Linked DNA regions of Xenopus tropicalis. The protein of the gene in region 3 purifies or fractionates together with the protein of the main gene of each other region. This does not show direct contact. Links are inferred from orthologs where the notes say so. Each region holds a gene or a part of one and is shown on either strand. Other genes may lie near its edges.

Region 1 (4,178 bases), on a different chromosome or scaffold from region 3:
TCATACCTGTCTGCTTCACCTGTCTCTTCATGTAGGTGGTCAAGTGGTGGCGATGGAAAGTCAAATATTGGGCCAGATGTGCGAGTACCACCATCAAGGGTATCAGCTGATGACATATTTTCACCACACCTAAAATCTGTGGGAAAAAAAGAGCAAGAGCATATAGCAATGTAAGTGTAGAACAATTCCACATATTATTATCCTTTTATTTACATAGCACCAATATATTTGATGTGTTTTAAGGATACTGGTCCCTGCAACTCTGTATTTTAATGTTTTCCATAGCAATTAAAAAATAAGCAATTAAATAACTTATAAATTTGTCTTGTAAGAGAGGTACTAACTTCCTTCCACTTCTCTGCCAACTTCCTGAAAGGTGTATGCTGCACCCAAATTAGATGATGGAGAGAACGGTGTGTCAGAACCCTCAATGGAGCCACCGCTAGTGCGCAATCTACTTCCATCTGCTGGTTCAGGGCTACTGGATGAAGATGTGGATAAGTGCTTGGGGTGGCGTGGCCGCTGAAGTTCCATAGCCCTGCCAACTGAACATAAAAATCAAGACATCGTAAAAGTGTTAATAAACCAGTTTTTCTATCATTTTTTCCCTAACGGGAACCATATTAATTTGGCGAACTAGTTGGGGGGGGACACAAATATTCATGCCAATGGTACAAGTTATATGGCAAAATGGATTATTTACATAACGCCAACATATTCTGCAGAGTTTTAAAGAGGTTATACACCATTTACATAATTCCCTGCCCCAGTGAAGTTTACAACCTATTCACACGCAGTGTGGTCTAATTTATTTGGAACTAATTGTATGAGGAAACAGAAGTAACAAGCTGAAACATGTATGGTGAGAAAGTAAAACCTCCTTGAATATACACCTGTACTGCTCATGCGGAAATCAAATATAGGACTCTATAGCTGCTAAACATATACCTGTTAATTACTTGCCAGTTCCACTAAAACATTTTGGCTATTAGAAGCTTGGAGGCTGTAAGTGCAGATGTAAAGTCCATGGCTCTTCTGGTGCCTCTGAATACTGTGCCTTACTAATTCAGATTAGTAAGTAGCAATCTGGACACAACTGCTTTGTGTATGGAGTTTTAATATGCACTTATTTGGTTGTTACTGCAACCTTACTATGACCAGCACATATGCTCATATAAGGGTAAATGTCCAACTGGATATTCAGGCCCAAGTAAAGATATGCAGTATTCTCCTGATAAACTCATAGAATAATTCTGTAAGTGCCTTACAGAGGGAGTTTTCATGGCAAATAGGCACATATATACACTTCAGACTCATTCTGTGCAGTGAAACATTGACTGGAAAGAAACTGCAAGGATGTACATTTTTCATATATAAACTGAGAAACTACCTTTTCATTTTTTAGCTGGATTTACTTAACATTACATTTTAAATGAAAGATTGTATCCCTTTAAACAGCAGTATCTGCATCACAGGTTATCAGTGATATACCTGCCAACATAGGCTGAGATATTATAGATGTTTCTCAACTATATTTTAGAGCTAACCATTATTATTTAATCACTCTATTCTGAATTCCAGTTATTTATATGCTGCTTCTTCATATAACGATTGGTACTGTTCCTGGAGGAGTTTTTGACATGCTCACTCTCTTATACACACTCATCATCCTCATTAGCATGCAGACAAATATTCAGTTATTGAGAATACCAAATTAGCCATATAGTCTGAGGTCCTGGGTTGGAATATTTAGATAATTAGTGACAACAATTTGCAATGTGACTGGTAGGATTTATACGTACTTGCATTACTATCTTGTCGGCTAGGCTTCCTCTGAGGTGCAAGGATGCTGGGAAACCCTCTTCGCTTCACCTTTTCCTCACCCTCCCGATCTTTCTTCATACTTTGCTAAAACAAGAGCAAAACAGAAGGTTTGCTTATTTCAGATAAGTAGACAATATTTTTAGTGTTTTCATCAAAGTGCAAATGTGATTTATAGCTGTATATATGTATATAGATATATACACACATATGTACATACACAGATATAAATTTACTTAGATATCTGTATATGCATATACATATCTGTATATATGGATTTTTTTATCGATTTTTTTTAACTGCATATAAAGCTTACGGTACTACTGGACATTAATGGATACTAATGCGGACAATATAAAACACTGGAAGATTAAGATATCTTAATTTACCTTAATTTTTGGGAGGAATCCAATTCGACCACGTTTCTGTTCAAGACTTCGTGGCTCTTTAACTTTCACACCAAGATGCTTCATATAGGTTAGAATCACATATTGTATGGTATTGCTGTGAATAAACAGCATTTTTCAGTATATTATTATTAACATTTATTTATAAAGCGCCAGCATATTCCGCAGTGCTGTACAATAAGTGGGTTTCATACATTGGACATACAGAGTACCATATAAAGCAATCAATAACCGATACAAAAGGTGAAGAGGGCCCTGCCCAAAAGAGCTTACAATCTACAAGAAGTATACAAAGAATGCAGATCTATGAAATCTATTTAGGTCCTCAAGCACACTTATTCAGCTATCCCATGGTAGGTGTGCATTTAACTATAAGAAACACTATACCCCCAGAATGAATACTTAACCAACAGATAGTTTCTATTAAATAGTATCGGTCACATAGTGTATGAACCTGCCCTGATCATTCACAAATTTTGGAAAGTAAATTTGTAATAATGACAAACTAATTTAACATATACTATTGCTTTTTACAGATACATGATGGCGGGTGCAACAATGAAGGCAGGCATATATTCTGGAACATGGAGATATATTTGTCTTCCCCTTTGGGAGACATATATTAACACTCTTACACACACACACACACACACACCTCATATACTACTAAATGTTACACACATATCTATACATATTACCCTGGACCAGCTGTAGTCTGTCATGGTTATATTTAATAGGTTATTTACATTGCATATCATTTATAACTGCTCTTGAAACAAAGGTATTTTAATCACCTTGGTGAGTGGCACTTTTACAATATAGGTAATACAGGGATCCCCAACCTTTTTTACCCCGTGAGTAACATTCAGCTGCAAAACTTGTTCGTGAGCAACACAATACGTGAACAGTAGCGCAAACACAATTTTTAATAATAATAATATACACTATATTAAAATGTTATATAATATCAAAATATTAGTGTGAAATCTGGCACTGCATGTTTTCTGCCAGTTTTTGAAAATCTGAGGTGTAGCTGATGGGAAGCAGTATGGCACACTGGAGCTCTGAGGATACAGATGGGAAGCAGTATGGCACACTGGAGCTCTGAGGGTACAGATGGGAGGCAGTATGGCACACTGGAGTAGTGAGGATACAGATGGGAGGCAGCATGGCACACAGAAGCAGCAAAGATAAATATAGGACAGAATGGCAGGAGCAAACAGGTAGAGGAGATTGTGGACAGGATAAGGGCACAGAGGAACAAGGAATAAAAGAATGTAAGATGTGGAACTTTTTGGAAACATATTTCTGGTACAGCAAGATTGGAAAAAAGGTAATGGTTAACAGAAAATGTGAAATATATGAAATATGAAAAAATTGGCACAGCAGTGGCATGGGCTGGGGAGAAGGGATCACTAGGATGCCTTACCAGAAAAGTATTGTGCTGGGAACAGATAAAAAATATTCAGTGGAGGGGAGCTGGAACTCAAAAGATTGTGCTGGTATAATTAACAGCTGGATTTTACAGGAGGTTCACAGGACTGATCAGGATCTTTTCTCACCCTCCTTCCTAGCCCCCCTGCTCCCTGATTTGCGATTGTGCCTCCAGTCAAATCCAGCAGTCAGTTATAGCAGCACAACCTTTTCTCTCCCCCCCCCCCTTCCTAACTCCTCCAGTTCCCTCTCTTGTGACCCTGCCTCCTGTCATAGCTCTCCCTCTGTTCCGAGCCCTTCCTGCTCCCTCACTAGCAATCCTGCCTCCTGTCCTATCTCTCCCTTCGTGTCCAGCTCTGCCTGCTCCCTCACTTGCCATCGTTCGTGCCTCCTGTCAAATCCAGCAGTGAGTTATAGCCGCAACATCTCTCCGTGACTCTTTCCAGCCCCGACTGCTGACTGCTGAATTTGACAGGAGGCACGATTGATGGCAAGTGAGGGAGCAGGCGGAACTGG
Region 2 (4,178 bases), on a different chromosome or scaffold from region 3:
CAACAGAGAACAGGGCGACCATGGAAGCTTAAAAAAAAGCACCCAGTGGAAGTCCTTGCCGTTTCAGAAGCCTGGCAAGGTAGCGCGGCAAAATTGCAACAGGAAGAAGCTTGGCAGTAAATTGACTTAGAACACCACAAGAGCCAACAACTTTTGGGAGGACACCACAGGAGCTTGGCAACAACATGATGGTGGAGACCAAAGGAGCTTGGCAACAAGTTGACGGAGGACACCACAGGAGCCTGGCAGCAAGTTGGGTCACTCTGCAGGGCCCAAAAGCAGAAGGAAGGGAAGGTGGCACAATGCGGAAGAGTGTCAGCAATAGCCTCGCAGAATGTGCTTTACCCCAGTAAGCCTTACCTTTCATTTTCTGCACTTTCCTCAGTCTGGTCTGCTGGGCAATGCTCAGTGGTGGGGGATCCTTTGAGGACCTCAGATGCATCATTAGACAATGCCCCATCAGTCACTGCTTCAGAGGAGAAAGAGAGAAACGACTGCAGTTATATTCCATTCCAGAACCATCCTAATGGCACCACCCATGCACCCCCCCCCCCCTTCTGCCTTCAACTATGCTCTCCAGTGCAGGTGCTGGTTATGCTAGTGCTCATTTATTGTGCCTCACACTTACCTGGGTCAGGATCATTGGGCTCATTAGGAGGGGGGATGATATTTACAGACACCACAGAATCAGGCCCTTCGCTGTTCTTGGATTTCGCTGTGCTGCTGTCACTCCTATCAAAAGTTCTCTGCCCCTGGCTGACCCTTCTGTCCGGGTTTGGCTTCTCAGCTGCAAAAAAACAAGCGGTCACGATAAAGACTTTATCACTTCTCAGAAGAGCAACCAAAATGTGGCTATTTTTTTTTACATTAGCTAAATGCCTTCCCACTATCTACACCCATAACCAGATTCTAACTCCTTTTCCAATTTAGACAATCACATTGAATATTACAGGCTCCAAGCCCAGTTACGTTAATTCATTTTGAACACATACTTTTATTTTCCTGTTGGATTATATTACTCTACCTTAGATTCTGGGCACTGTCAGCTTTATAAAACAATACAGAAAAGAAAAATCCCATTAATGATTAGTATATGATATAGGAGCGTAAAAAGATCAGATTTAGCTCAATCCCGTTCCCTCAACCCAAGTGACAGAGCATGTTTTAGAGAAAGGAAAGAGAAATCAGATGAAAGGCCTAAAAGCCTTCGTCCCACAGCAATGAAATTACACATCTCCTATTTATTCCCTTAAAGCGCCAATTGACGAAACAATCACTAAGAGTGCACTCTGTGACTTGCCCTTTAAAGCAGATTACCCCCTTCATTTCATCCCCTGGGTGCTTTTCTTATTCGATTTAAACTATGTAAACAGAGTGCAGAGTTGGCAGAAAAGCACCCGCGTGGCAACTGGCAGCCTCTCTCTCTCACTGCAGGACGAGCAAAGAAAGGTTTAGCGCACTGATCTTCTTAATGGAACACTTTGACCTTTCTATAGTCCCATTGGATCGGGGCAATTGGATTGGTGGGTTAAAATGTCACAAATACCCACAATAAAAGAAAGATGTGGCGCTACAATTAAGGCTGCCACAGATATCTGTCTGGTTTGCCCCTCGCTCTCTGAACATGTTTTTTGTTGTTTAAAGGGTCGGTTTCAGTATTATGTATATAGTGCTAGCTTAGTTAGACAAGGACCTATCATTACCAACTGTTCAACTAATCAGCATTTTTTACATTTTTTTGTCTATTTTAAATGGTTTTTGAATTATTACCCTCACCATTCTGCCTTTTCTCCAGCCTGCAAACATAAATGTCACTAACCCCAGCATCCAAAAACACGTGGACTTAAAAGCATTTGTTTTAATTGTTATTCGGTTGCATCTGACTTACTTTTATATTCTATTCTGACTTCATAACTTCTACCTGGTTAGGGGAAATAATTCAGCTTTCAGTGGATGGGAAGGGGGGGCAGTTGCAGGGAGTTTTACTTCAACAACAAGTGAAAGGCTGAAGGCTGGTTACTGACAGTAAGCATTACAGCTTGTCCATATTTGTAGCCCCCGCTTATTCCTAACTACACCCTATTTAGCAGGTCCTTATTATGTACCCTTTAAAGATAGATCTGTCTCTCCAAGAATGCAGGAAAGCAACTACTGTATGAAGCTAATTATGCTTCTTGCACTGGGAGACAGAGTGTGGCTGCTAAAATCAAAGTGGATGAAGGAGAGGCTAATGCGCCAAACATAGCTGCTTCATGGGACTGAAGCTTTAGAAATAAAATTGTATTTTAGCAACAGCTTGGGGGTAGTAGTTTTAACATCCCTGCCTCCTAATAAGCACTCTAATGATTTGCTAGCAGAAATAATACCCTTTTTATAAGTAGGGCTATGTTTTGTTCTTCCCTGTAATGTATAGGAGGAGGAGAGCTCACTGTGTGCACAGGGCATTCTTTTGCATTAAGAGTGGAAATATTCTATATCCTATACTGAAGCTGTGTAAATGTATTCAGCTGCCGGGATGTTACCCCTTTCTGCTAGACCAAGGAGTTGCATTTTTATTCCCCTCAAAGAGAAGATGTGGAAGAAGAGAGATGTGGAGAGGTGGTTGTGGGGTGATTAGTGAGTTTGGTTCGGAAGGTACCTTCGGGCTCAACTTTGGATGGTCTGCTGTCAACATCTGCGAAAAACACGGGGAGGAGCGGAAAAAGGGAAAAACAAAACATGGCATGAAGACAAGCTAGGACAGGAGGCCACCCACACACCCAGCACGCCCATAAAGGCAGAGGGACTGTGAAAGAGTGCCATGCAACAAACAGAGAGCTATGCCCAACACAGACATAGTGACATATTTATTATACCGGTGATGTTGCCCATACCAACCGATTGGTTGATTGTTGCTTTTGTTTTCTAACTTGAAGGTGACTGTTCAATTCTAACTGCTGATTGGTTGCTATGGGCAACATCACTGGTTATATTGGCTTACACACTGTAATAAATATGCCCCTAAGTGTGCAATTCCCAAGGAGGCCACCATGCATCTTACCCATGCACCCCAATGGAAATCAAGACAAATGCAAGCTTTACAGAAGATGCTGCAGAGACAGAGGTGCTGACTACATGGCAGACTTATTTAACAGACAATGACAGTAAAAGGCTTTTATCACCTTAAAAATTAACTTTTAGCATGATAACATATTTATTGTAATTTGCTACTAATTGTTATTTTTATGTTTTTTTAATCACTTAACATGTTGCGCTAAAGCTCTGCAATATTAAATTCATACTACTATCTAGTTGCTAGGGTGCCACTTACCCTAGAAACCAGGCTGTAATTTGAAAGTCAGACTGGGGCCGACTTTCCCAAATATAAGCATAGGTTGTGAAATATTATAATAACATATTACAATAATATTAAATTGAGCTTGAACTTTAGTGGCCATTGTACTGAGTGTGAAGACTGAATGTGTGACTGAAAGAGTACAGAAACTGGAGGAGGAGCAGGGAGAATGTAGGGAGGGAATGAAGATGGATGAAGGTGGATGGGCATGGAGACTGGGAAACAAGCAGGGAGGAGGTGGAGAGGGCATGGTTATCGGAGGCTGAGAAAGGAGGAAATTGTGAGGATAAGGAGCTTAGAGAACATGGAGAGAAGATATAGGGAGGCCATGGAGACTTAAGAACAAGGAGGTTGGAGATGGAAAGAAACAAGAACAAGTCTGAGGATTTGAGGGAATGTACCCTGGAGAACAAGCATGAAGGAGATGGAGAGAGCACTGCTACTGGAGAACAAGCAAAGAAGGAAATGGAGAAGGAATGTAAACTGGAGAACAAACAGACAGGAAACAGGCAGGGTACAGAGAGGAGATGGAGAGGGCTCAGATATTACGGAGTAAAAGGAAAGGAGGTTAGAGGGCACAAACATTGCAGAACCAAGGGGGAAGGAGTTATGTTAAAGTGCCAAAAATTCAGTACGATATTAACACTGGCTACATCATGTTATACATATTACAGGGTTATTTTTTTTTGCAGTATTTAACCCTAAAATACAAACCTTAAATGTCATGTTACTTTATAACACTGAGAAACTATAGGGTTTCCTGAAAAGTTGGCTTTGTCTTAATAATATGATGCATTTCCTGCCAATGTAGTGCCATAGTAAAAGTTAATTCCAAAGTGAATTG
Region 3 (4,919 bases):
ATCATGGGACATTTGGCTGCCTGAGTGGGCAGCCACAGATGCTCTGCCCGGCACTACCCAGGGCCCAATGCACCCCACTAATGTCACAGACACCCCGCTCCCCCTGCAGGGAGGGCATATTACACGGCTCCTTCCTGGGGTTCCCTATGATAGCAATGCTACATTGCCCATATACCCCCACCCTATAAATGCCCCCATGCCTATAAGTGTACCCGTTACCTTGGTGACCTTTGGGGAAGCTGAATGAAGCCAGAGTAGAAGCCATGATGGATAACACTTAATGTCACTGCTGCAAAACCCCGCCCCCCATTATGCCCCCCCCCCCCCCGGTTACCCTATCCAAGGGTTAGTGTCACTGAGGGGCCATTACTGTACGCTGTACTTACTAAAGGGGAAGATGAACCACTGATGACACCCCTCTGGGCTGCCCAGCTTTGGGGGTAACTTTGCAGTGGTAGCCAAGTTGATCATTTTGACACAATTGCCCCCTCCCCAAATTCCGCAAAATCTGCCCAAACCCCAGGGGTATCTACATCCCTCCCCCCATGGATCTAATTAATCCTTGCACAGGTTACCCAAAGGTCCCATTATAATTGCCCCCTTTGGTGTCACTTGGATGTCATTACCAACAAGCACATGTATGCCCCACTAGGGGTAACTAGAGAACACTGGGGCCCCATAATATGGACCCCCCCCCCCGGTACCTTGTAAACATACAGCAACTGTCACCCAGTCCCAGATAACTTCACACGTGATGTCAACGCCTTCAGTGCCACGTCCCACCCTGCCCCCTGGGGTATTAGTAAGGATGTTGTGACCCCCGGGGTGGCACCAATAGTGCTGCTGTGGGTAAGCACTTCCCCAATATAACCGTGCCCCTCTGAAAGGGTAAAATTTGACGATGTACAAACTATTACCCCCACTACTGGAACTGGGGTACCTTTATATAGCGCTCGCCACTCAAACCCCTGGGGTAACGGGGCTACTGATGCCCCTTAGCACAACCGCCCCCCAGGAACAAAATATAATGCTGCTGCAGATACTCCGCCAATCTAACTGTCCAACAAAGGGGTAGATTTTTGGATAAATGCCCTGGGGTATATTGGAAGACATTTCTGTAGATACCCCTAGCCCATACATATAGGTTTGTTTTAGTTGCCCTACATACCCCCCTAATCACTTCCCCAGGGTAATTAACACACTCCTGCACATAGGGGGTACACTGATGGGGCAGGTTTGGGTACCCCCAGTTTAAGTGCCACCCTTGTGTGTAGGTTTGCTATTGTTGCCCTACATACCCCCCTAATCACTTCCCCAGGGTAATTAACACACTCCTGCACATAGGGGGTACACTGATGGGGCAGGTTTAAGTAAACCCAGTTTAAGTGCCACCCATGTGGGTAGGTTTGCTATCGTTGCCCCTCATACCCCCCTAATCACTTCCCCGGGGTAATTAACACATTCCTGCACATGGGGGGGGGTACTCTGATGGGGCAGATTTAGTTACCCCCAGTTTAAGTGCCACCCCTGTGGGTGTTTGCTATAGTTGCCCTATATACCCCTAAAATCACTTCCCCGGGGTAATTAACACATTCCTGCACATACCCACCTCACATACGGGGGCAATCTGATGGGGCAGGTTTGCTATTGCTGCCCTACATACCCCCCTATTCACTTTCCCGGAGAAATTAACACATTCTGCATGCGGGGGGGGGGGGGGAGCAATTAGGTACCCCCAGTTTAAGTGCCACCCCTGTGTAGGTTTGCTATAGTTGCCCTACATACCCCCCCTAATCACTTCCCCAGGGTAATTAACTCATTCCTGCACATAGGGGGGCACTCTGCTGGGGCAGGTTTAGTTACCCCCAGTTTAAGTGCCACCCCCATGGGTAGGTTTGCTATAGTTGCCCTACATGGGGGTATGTAGGGCTAGTCACGTCCCCAGGGTAATTAACACATTCCTGCACATGGGGGGGTATCCTGCTGGGGCAGGTTTAGTTACCCCCAGTTCAAGTGCCCCCCATGTGGGTAGGTTTGCTATAATTGCCCTACATACCCCCCTAATCACTTCCCTGGGGTAATTAACCCATTCCTGCACATGGGGGGGGTATCCTGCTGGGGCAGGTTTAGTTACCCCCAGTTTAAGTGCCCCCCCTGTGCGTAGGTTTGCTATAGTTGCCCTACATACCCCCCTAATCACATCCCCGGGGTAATTAATCCATTCCTACACATGGGGGGGGGGGTATCCTGCTGGGGCAGGTTTAGTTACCCCCAGTTTAAGTGCCCCCCCTGTGGGTAGGCTTGCTATAATTGCCCTACATACCCCCCTAATCCCTTCCCCGGGGTAATTAACCCATTCCTACACATGGGGGGGTATCCTGCTGGGGCAGGTTTAGTTACCCCCAGTTTAAGTGCCCCCCCTGTGGGTAGGTTTGCTATAATTGCCCTACATACCCCCCTAATCCCTTCCCCGGGGTAATTAACCCATTCCTACACATGAGGGGGGGGGGGTATCCTGCTGGGGCAGGTTTAGTTACCCCCAGTGGGTAACTAGTGACACAATTGCCCCGGGCCGGGTACCTTTGATGACGTTGCTGTAGATGGTTGCCCGGAACTCCTCCTTGGCCCGCAGGTCGAAGTCCTGCCCGTGGATGATGCGCATCTGCTTGAGGAAGGTGGACTTGCCGCTCTCCCCGGCCCCCAGCAGCAGGATCTTCACCAGGCGCTTGACGTAGGTTTTCTCCCGGGAGAGGCAGCGATCGATCTCCTTGGACTTGCGCTGCTGCTCGGCCTCCCGGCTGGTGAGCACACAGTTGGGGAAGCACACGGACAGCACGGAGCGGGACGGCAGGAAGTCCGCCATCTTACACACACTCGCCCTGGCTCACTCCTGCCTCATCGGCGGCCCTGGGACGGGGGAGCGGTCCTGGCGGTGCGTGCGCGGGAGCGGCGCTGGGTGGGTACGTGCGCGCCCCCGACTCCTTTCGCTCTGAGTGGAAGGCGGGAACGCGCGGTTCCTTCCGTTCGCTAAGGCGCCGGTGTGTGAGGCAGAGAAAGCGGCTATCGTTTCTCTAGGGTTCCGCCGCGCTGGGAAACGTCTCGTCTACACCGAGCAACGCGGGAACTGGGGGCGCGGCCCGAACCCGGCAACACCATCCGCCATCTTGCAACTCTTCCTCACGTGATGCTTCCTTTGCCCTTCTACTGGCTAGCGCACCTCGTCATGTGATCCTCCTTCTGCAATTCTATTGGCTGCCAGACACTTCGCTCTCTAGACTTGCTCCATCTTGCTGAGGGGCTTCTGTTCTGTGGTGTCAATTGCCCCTCATTCTGTGGCAGGATACCCCTTCTGTAGGCTGCCTGAGAAATTACTCTCCCCTATAAAAGCCTCAGCTTACTGAAGAGATGAGAGGCCAAAGTAATACCTCTATATTTTATTATTATTTATATATAATATTCAGTTTGGTCATTTTGCCCTTCTACTTGCAGTCTGGCGGCTATCGCACCTCATCATGTGATTCTCCTTCTGCAATTCTATTGGCTGCCAGGAAGTTTGCTCTCTAGACTTGCTCCATCTTGCTGAGGGGCTTGTGTAGTGTCAAATGCCCCTCATTCTGTATATAGATGTATATATATATATATATATAAAGTGCCATGTGGTATGAGACACAGTAGGAAGGAGGTCCCTGCCCCGTAGCGCTTACAATCTAAGTAATTATATAACCCATTATTGTACTGCGCTATGGAATATGTTGGCGCTTTATAAATACATGTTATTAATAATGACTAGGGATGCAGCAAACCCACTTTTTTGGGTTCGGCCGAACCCCCAAACCCACCCCGACGGATTCTACTGAATCTCAAACCAAATCCGGGATTCGGCGCAGCCCTAATAATAACTGGTTATGTCCATGCAAGGGAATTTCATGTTAACCATTTGCACTCATTATTGCTAAGGGGGTTGGTACCGTAAAGGAGTTGCCCACCTTTGAGTTACTTTTAGTATGACGTAGAGAGTAACATTCTGAGACAATTTGCAATTGGTCTTCATTTTTTATTACTTGTAGATTTTTAATTATTTCAGGTTTTTTGTTCGGCAGCTTGCAGTTTCAGCAGCTATTTGGTTTCTAAGACTCAAATCACCTTAGCAACCAGGGAGTGGTTCGAATGAGAGACAGGTATATTAATAGGAGAGGGGCTGAAAAGAAGAATAAGTGATATAAAGTAACAATAACAATAAAACTGGAGCCTCACAGAGCAATAGGGTTTGGCTGCCGGGGTCAGTGACCCCCATTTGAAAGCTGCAAAGAGGCAGAGGAAAAAGGCAAATAATTCAAAAACAAAAAATGAAGACCAGTTGAAAAGTTGCTTAGAATTAGCAATTCTATAACATACTTAAAGGTGAACCACCCCTTTAAAGGAATATATAGCCAACCTTCTGTTTAATCATGGGGACTGCAGCCACCATTACTATCCTATACCTGGCTATATGGTGCATTCTGATTGGCTACTAGAAATAAGGCACATATTTAAGCCCTTGTCATGCTGGAGATGCCAAGTAATATCGCCCTTTTTAAGTTGTTCTGAAAAGCCCTGAAACATGGTCGCCTCGCTGTTACACAATAGGGTGGGGGTTCTTCTATTACTCTCCAGCCAATCACACACGGGCTAACAACTATTTGCTCAAGTATACAGGGAAATACACAGTACATAGAGCCTGCTTTATAGGCCATATATATATATATAATTACAGTAGGAAGTAAAACCTGCTTATACAAGGGAAGTCAGCGTGTCATTAGTGCTGCTAATTAGAGCAAGGGGCCCCGAGCCCCGTCCTACAGTCTGTGCCTGCTTAGGGAACACGGATATGAGAATACAGTTGGGGTTAGGGTGGTTAACCATTTGGTTGCTGGGGGAAA
Region 4 (4,623 bases), on a different chromosome or scaffold from region 3:
GAAAAAGTCACGGAAAATACGAAAAAATCGCGACGGCGATGAAAAAGTCGCAAAAATACAGATCATTGCGAAAAAAATGCATTCGGATGCTTTCGGACGTTCGTGGATTAGTAAATGTGCCCCTAAGAGTCAAAGACACAAGAGGATAGAGGTCCCTGCCCCATAGAGCTTACAATCTAGATGGGAGGGTAAGAGTCAAAGGCACAAGAGAATGGAGGTCCCTGCCCCGTAGCGCTTACAATCTATATGGGAGGGTAAGAGTCAAAGGCACAAGAGGATGGAGGTCCCTGCCCCGTAGAGCTTACAATCTATATGGGAGGGTAAGAGTCAAAGACACAAGAGGATGGAGGTCCCTGCCCCGTAGAGCTTACAATCTATATGGAAGGGTAAGAGTCAAAGACACAAGAGGATGGAGGTCCCTGCCCCGTAGAGCTTACAATCTATATGGGAGGGTAAGAGTCAAAGGCACAAGAGGATGGAGGTCCCTGCCCCGTAGAGCTTACAATCTATATGGGAGGGTAAGAGTCAAAGACACAAGAGGATGGAGGTCCCTGCCCCATAGAGCTTACAATCTATATGGGAGGGTAAGAGTCAAAGGCACAAGAGGATGGAGGTCCCTGCCCCGTAGAACTTACAGTCTATATGGGAGGGTAAGAGCCAAAGACACAAGAGGATGGAGGTCCCTGCCCCGTAGAGCTTACAATCTATATGGGAGGGTAAGAGTCAAAGACACAAGAGGATGGAGGTCCCTGCCCCATAGATCTTACAATCTATATGGGAGGGTAAGAGTCAAAGGCACAAGAGGATGGAGGTCCCTGCCCCGTAGAGCTTACAATCTATATGGGAGGGTAAGAGTCAAAGGCACAAGAGGATGGAGGTCCCTGCCCCGTAGAGCTTACAATCTATATGGGAGGGTAAGAGTCAAAGACACAAGAGGATGGAGGTCCCTGCCCCGTAGAGCTTACAATCTATATGGGAGGGTAAGAGTCAAAGGCACAAGAGGATGGAGGTCCCTGCCCCGTAGAGCTTACAATCTATATGATATATAGTTACATTTATATAGCACCAGCAATGCACTGCCACACAATAGGAATGTAAATAGCTTCCTGTCCCAGAGGGATTGTATAGGAAAGTGGGGAAAATAAATATACCAGGCGTTTGGGGCTTTGCCTGTGTTTCTGTGACTAGATTTGACAGCAAGGAACACACAAGGGGAAAGCTGCCGCTTCAATGCAGCATTATGTTCTGTCTCTGTCCCCTTCCCTGAAGCAGGCAGGAGGGGAGGGAATTAGTGGGGGGAAAGGAGAGGGAGGGAGCTGAGGGAGGAGAGAGGGGAGGGAAGGGAGGTGGGGAGAGGACACAGAAGAGGGAGGCTCACTTTCCTGCACTCTACCCAGTAGCCAGAGAAGAGGAGGTTGGGGGGGTGAGGGGATCTGCCTAGCCTGTGTGTTTATTGCAGCTCCTGCTTGTATTTATGCAGAAAGGGGGGAGGGAGGGCAAAGAAAGAAAGAAGACTAAAGGCATGAAAAAAGGAAAGAGGGAGGGGATTCCAAGACAGAAAATAACTGATTTTTTCCCTTCTATCCCAGGCTCCTACCCCTGCTCACACACCCTGCACACTGCTGCTGCATGTCCCACTCTGTATTGTATTGGGCTGCAGCATTGGGGGGACCTTTGTGCTTCTTGTAGGCCCCTCTCTCTCCTGCTGCTGCTGCTGCTGCTGCATGGGGAAAGGGGGAGGGGACTGCAGCAATCCAGGCAGGGGGCTCTAGGAAAGCCTGGGGATTTCACAGGCCTAACACTGAACCAAAGGGAGACAGAAAGGACACACTCCATGGATCTGCACTGAAGGAGGAGAAATCCCAAGAGGAACCCAGCCTGGAAGGATCTCCTTGGCTAGCACCTGGGCTGCTCACTTTCTTTTTTTTTTTTTTTTGCACAAAACACCAAAATAGAGGATTTTTTTGTTTTTGTTTTCCACCTTTACCCCATTTCTTCTCCCCCCCCCCCCTTTTTTTTTTTTAATTCTCAGTTTTATGATGACCTAAAACAAAAGCCTTTTTGTTTAGCGCTTTCATTTTATGTATAGCTGGAGCAGCCCTACTCAGGATTATATTATTTTACTGAACGAGGATAAAGGGAAAAAAAAAAACAAAAAACGCCTGTTGGAAGATTGGGGAGGATCAAGAGAAAAAACCCTTAGGATTTTATCTTATTTTATTATTTTTATGCTGGAACCAGGATCTATCCACCTTTTTGGTTGAAAGAATAAGGAACCGTATATAAATATATATTTTTAATTTCTTTTAGTAATTATTATTGGGGGAGAAAAAGCCAGTTTGTTAGGCTGAAGGAGGTGAGACCATGAGAGTTGTGCAGTGCAACATGGGGCTGTGCGTCCCTTTAACATTTAAAATGGGCATTTCAGTGCTTTGAAATCCTATCTATTCTCCTTGCTTCCCTCCTCCTATTATCCTGCTTTTTTTTTTTATTTGCCCCCGAGTTAAAACCTCTGGAATTTTCGGAATATTCTGCTACCATGAGCATCAGTTCTGCACAGACATCCGTAGACCGGTAAATATACTTTCTGCTTATTCTATCTGATCCAATATTAATGCAATTGTATATGTGTCCTTCCTGTGCCGGGCTAAATCACATGGGGAGGATTGTAAAAAAAGAAAAAATCTATACTTGTGTGTAGTGAATAAGGGTTAAGACACACGGAGCTACTAGTAGCAGCTACTTGTCATGGTTACTAAAATAGACAATGCTGATAATTGTCTCTACGTGTTTTTTTAGCAGAGGCATTTCTCAGTATTGTCTATAGCAGAGTATTACTGGGGTTTAGTAGCTGCTACTTTTACTGGGGTTTAGTAGCTCCGTGTGTCTTCACCCTAAAGGGTAAATATGTTAAATCTTAAAGAAATAAGTATTTAAATGTACTCGTGTATAAATAAAAATATGCAGGAATATACTGCATACATGTGTGTTTTATATAAATGTACATATTCAACATTATATACAGACACCGATTTCTATATTATATATATATATATATATATATATATATATATAAATATATATAGAGAGAGAGAGAGTGTATATAGTGATACCACAATTTTATTTACAGATCTAGAATAACATGCAGGCAGATAGCTGCAAAGCTGCAGATCCATATACATTTATACATTAAAGGAAATGCTGCTGCCCCTTTATTATATGTGACAGGTTCTTTTCCACCCCTCCTCCCTTATGGCATTCGATGTGGCCTCCCAGAATTCCTTGGCGATGCAGATATCTGCTTTATAACAGCCCCACTATACTACAGGATATTACTAAAAATAACCCATATTTATAACATGTTTCGGGAAACATACTGTCTGGGCTGTAGGTGTGTGTCGGCTGGCTGCGTCCCTTCAAGTGATATTTTGGGTCTTCCTTCAGGCTTGCACAGTGTTACATTACAATTTTTGATTGGTTATTAGGCCTCAGAATGTGAGGAATTATTTATGATGACTAGGTGCAGAATTGTGCCCATTAAAATGCCAAGAGCCACCCGCTGGCACAACTGGTGCTCATTTATACTAGCAGTTTGCCCATTGGTAATGTTTACATTGGTACATAAGATGGAAAGATAGCCTGTTCCTATTTAATAGCGCCCTATGCCTTGTGCCTGCTTTTGTCAAGCGGTACGTACATGGCTTATTTAGTGACCCCTAATTAACGAGAGTGCAAGTTTATACCCAGTAGTGTAACTAGGATGTGCAGAACCAGAGGCGGCCTTTTGGGATGCTGCCCCCTCACACCCGACGCTTACCTTTCTGAGCGTCATAGAAGTGCGACTGGAAATATAAAAATCAGAATTTTGGCTCTTAAAGCTTTTTGCCTCCCCTGTTAACTTGTGGGGCTACTATCTAAACTTGGGTCATGGCAGCAGCCCCTGTGCAGACCAGGTCTGGACTGGGATTCTGAATAGGCCCTGGCATTTTAAGTGCACAGAGGCCCAATAAATAGTGACTGCCTATGGCATCTTAGGGTGAAGACACACAGAGCTATTAGTAGCAGCTACTTGTTGTGGCTACTAAAAAACAATGCTGATCATTTACTGATAATTGTCTCTACATGTGTTTTAGCTGAGACAATTCTTAGTGTTGTCTATGGCAGGGTATTTTCTGGAGATTAGTAGACATGACAAGTAGGTGCTACTAGTAGCCCAGTGTGTCTTCGACCTTACAGCAGCCCCAGAATCGACAGATTGCCAGTCTGTGCCTGGTGTAGACCCCACAACTAGATGGGGGAACAGGGGACCTGGAAAGGCCTGATGGGGGAACGAGTTTATTTGCAGGTCCCACAATGTGCTTGTGCCCAGGATTGTAATGTTCCCACATAAACAGAGCAGGGGCAGATTGTTTTTTTTGCTGGGGGGGCTGGGTGCAAGAAATGATGACACTGTGTACACCCATGTTCTACTTGCATTCCACCACTTCTCTCACAGGTGCAAGCTGAGGGCATTAGCGTGCTTCGGCATAAATCATTGTGACTACTAAGTCGGATGCTAAATTTTGCACTTGAGTGCAGTGGGTGCAGTTACCCAGAAAAATTGTGGCTTTATGGGGAATTCCT

What was found.
Region 1: the proteins of gna13 (region 3) and arhgef12 purify together in Homo sapiens (affinity purification with western blotting; 3 studies listed by BioGRID). This does not show direct contact. The link is inferred for Xenopus tropicalis from reciprocal best matches to the Homo sapiens genes GNA13 and ARHGEF12.
Region 2: the proteins of gna13 (region 3) and arhgef1 purify together in Homo sapiens (affinity purification with western blotting; 5 studies listed by BioGRID and IntAct, with this or other methods). This does not show direct contact. The link is inferred for Xenopus tropicalis from reciprocal best matches to the Homo sapiens genes GNA13 and ARHGEF1.
Region 4: the proteins of gna13 (region 3) and arhgef11 purify together in Homo sapiens (affinity purification with western blotting; 3 studies listed by BioGRID). This does not show direct contact. The link is inferred for Xenopus tropicalis from reciprocal best matches to the Homo sapiens genes GNA13 and ARHGEF11.

What each region holds. Positions count from the first base shown.
Region 1 is NC_030683.2:78,844,220-78,848,397, forward strand, and holds part of arhgef12 (rho guanine nucleotide exchange factor 12), read right to left. Parts: intron 2,326-4,178; coding exon 2,211-2,325; intron 1,909-2,210; coding exon 1,803-1,908; intron 546-1,802; coding exon 345-545; intron 137-344; coding exon 7-136; intron 1-6. UniProt on the Homo sapiens protein: May play a role in the regulation of RhoA GTPase by guanine nucleotide-binding alpha-12 (GNA12) and alpha-13 (GNA13). Acts as guanine nucleotide exchange factor (GEF) for RhoA GTPase and may act as GTPase-activating protein (GAP) for GNA12 and GNA13.
Region 2 is NC_030683.2:106,768,696-106,772,873, reverse strand, and holds part of arhgef1 (rho guanine nucleotide exchange factor 1), read right to left. Parts: intron 2,675-4,178; coding exon 2,639-2,674; intron 788-2,638; coding exon 629-787; intron 470-628; coding exon 361-469; intron 1-360. UniProt on the Homo sapiens protein: Seems to play a role in the regulation of RhoA GTPase by guanine nucleotide-binding alpha-12 (GNA12) and alpha-13 (GNA13) subunits. Acts as a GTPase-activating protein (GAP) for GNA12 and GNA13, and as guanine nucleotide exchange factor (GEF) for RhoA GTPase.
Region 3 is NC_030686.2:50,664,399-50,669,317, forward strand, and holds the start of gna13 (guanine nucleotide-binding protein subunit alpha-13), read right to left. Parts: upstream 3,149-4,919; 5' UTR 2,864-3,148; coding exon 2,581-2,863; intron 1-2,580. Other genes in the region: regulator of G-protein signaling 9, read left to right, coding at 3,406-3,418. UniProt on the Homo sapiens protein: Guanine nucleotide-binding proteins (G proteins) are involved as modulators or transducers in various transmembrane signaling systems.
Region 4 is NC_030684.2:131,917,420-131,922,042, reverse strand, and holds the start of arhgef11 (rho guanine nucleotide exchange factor 11), read left to right. Parts: upstream 1-1,391; 5' UTR 1,392-2,539; coding exon 2,540-2,574; intron 2,575-4,623. UniProt on the Homo sapiens protein: May play a role in the regulation of RhoA GTPase by guanine nucleotide-binding alpha-12 (GNA12) and alpha-13 (GNA13). Acts as guanine nucleotide exchange factor (GEF) for RhoA GTPase and may act as GTPase-activating protein (GAP) for GNA12 and GNA13.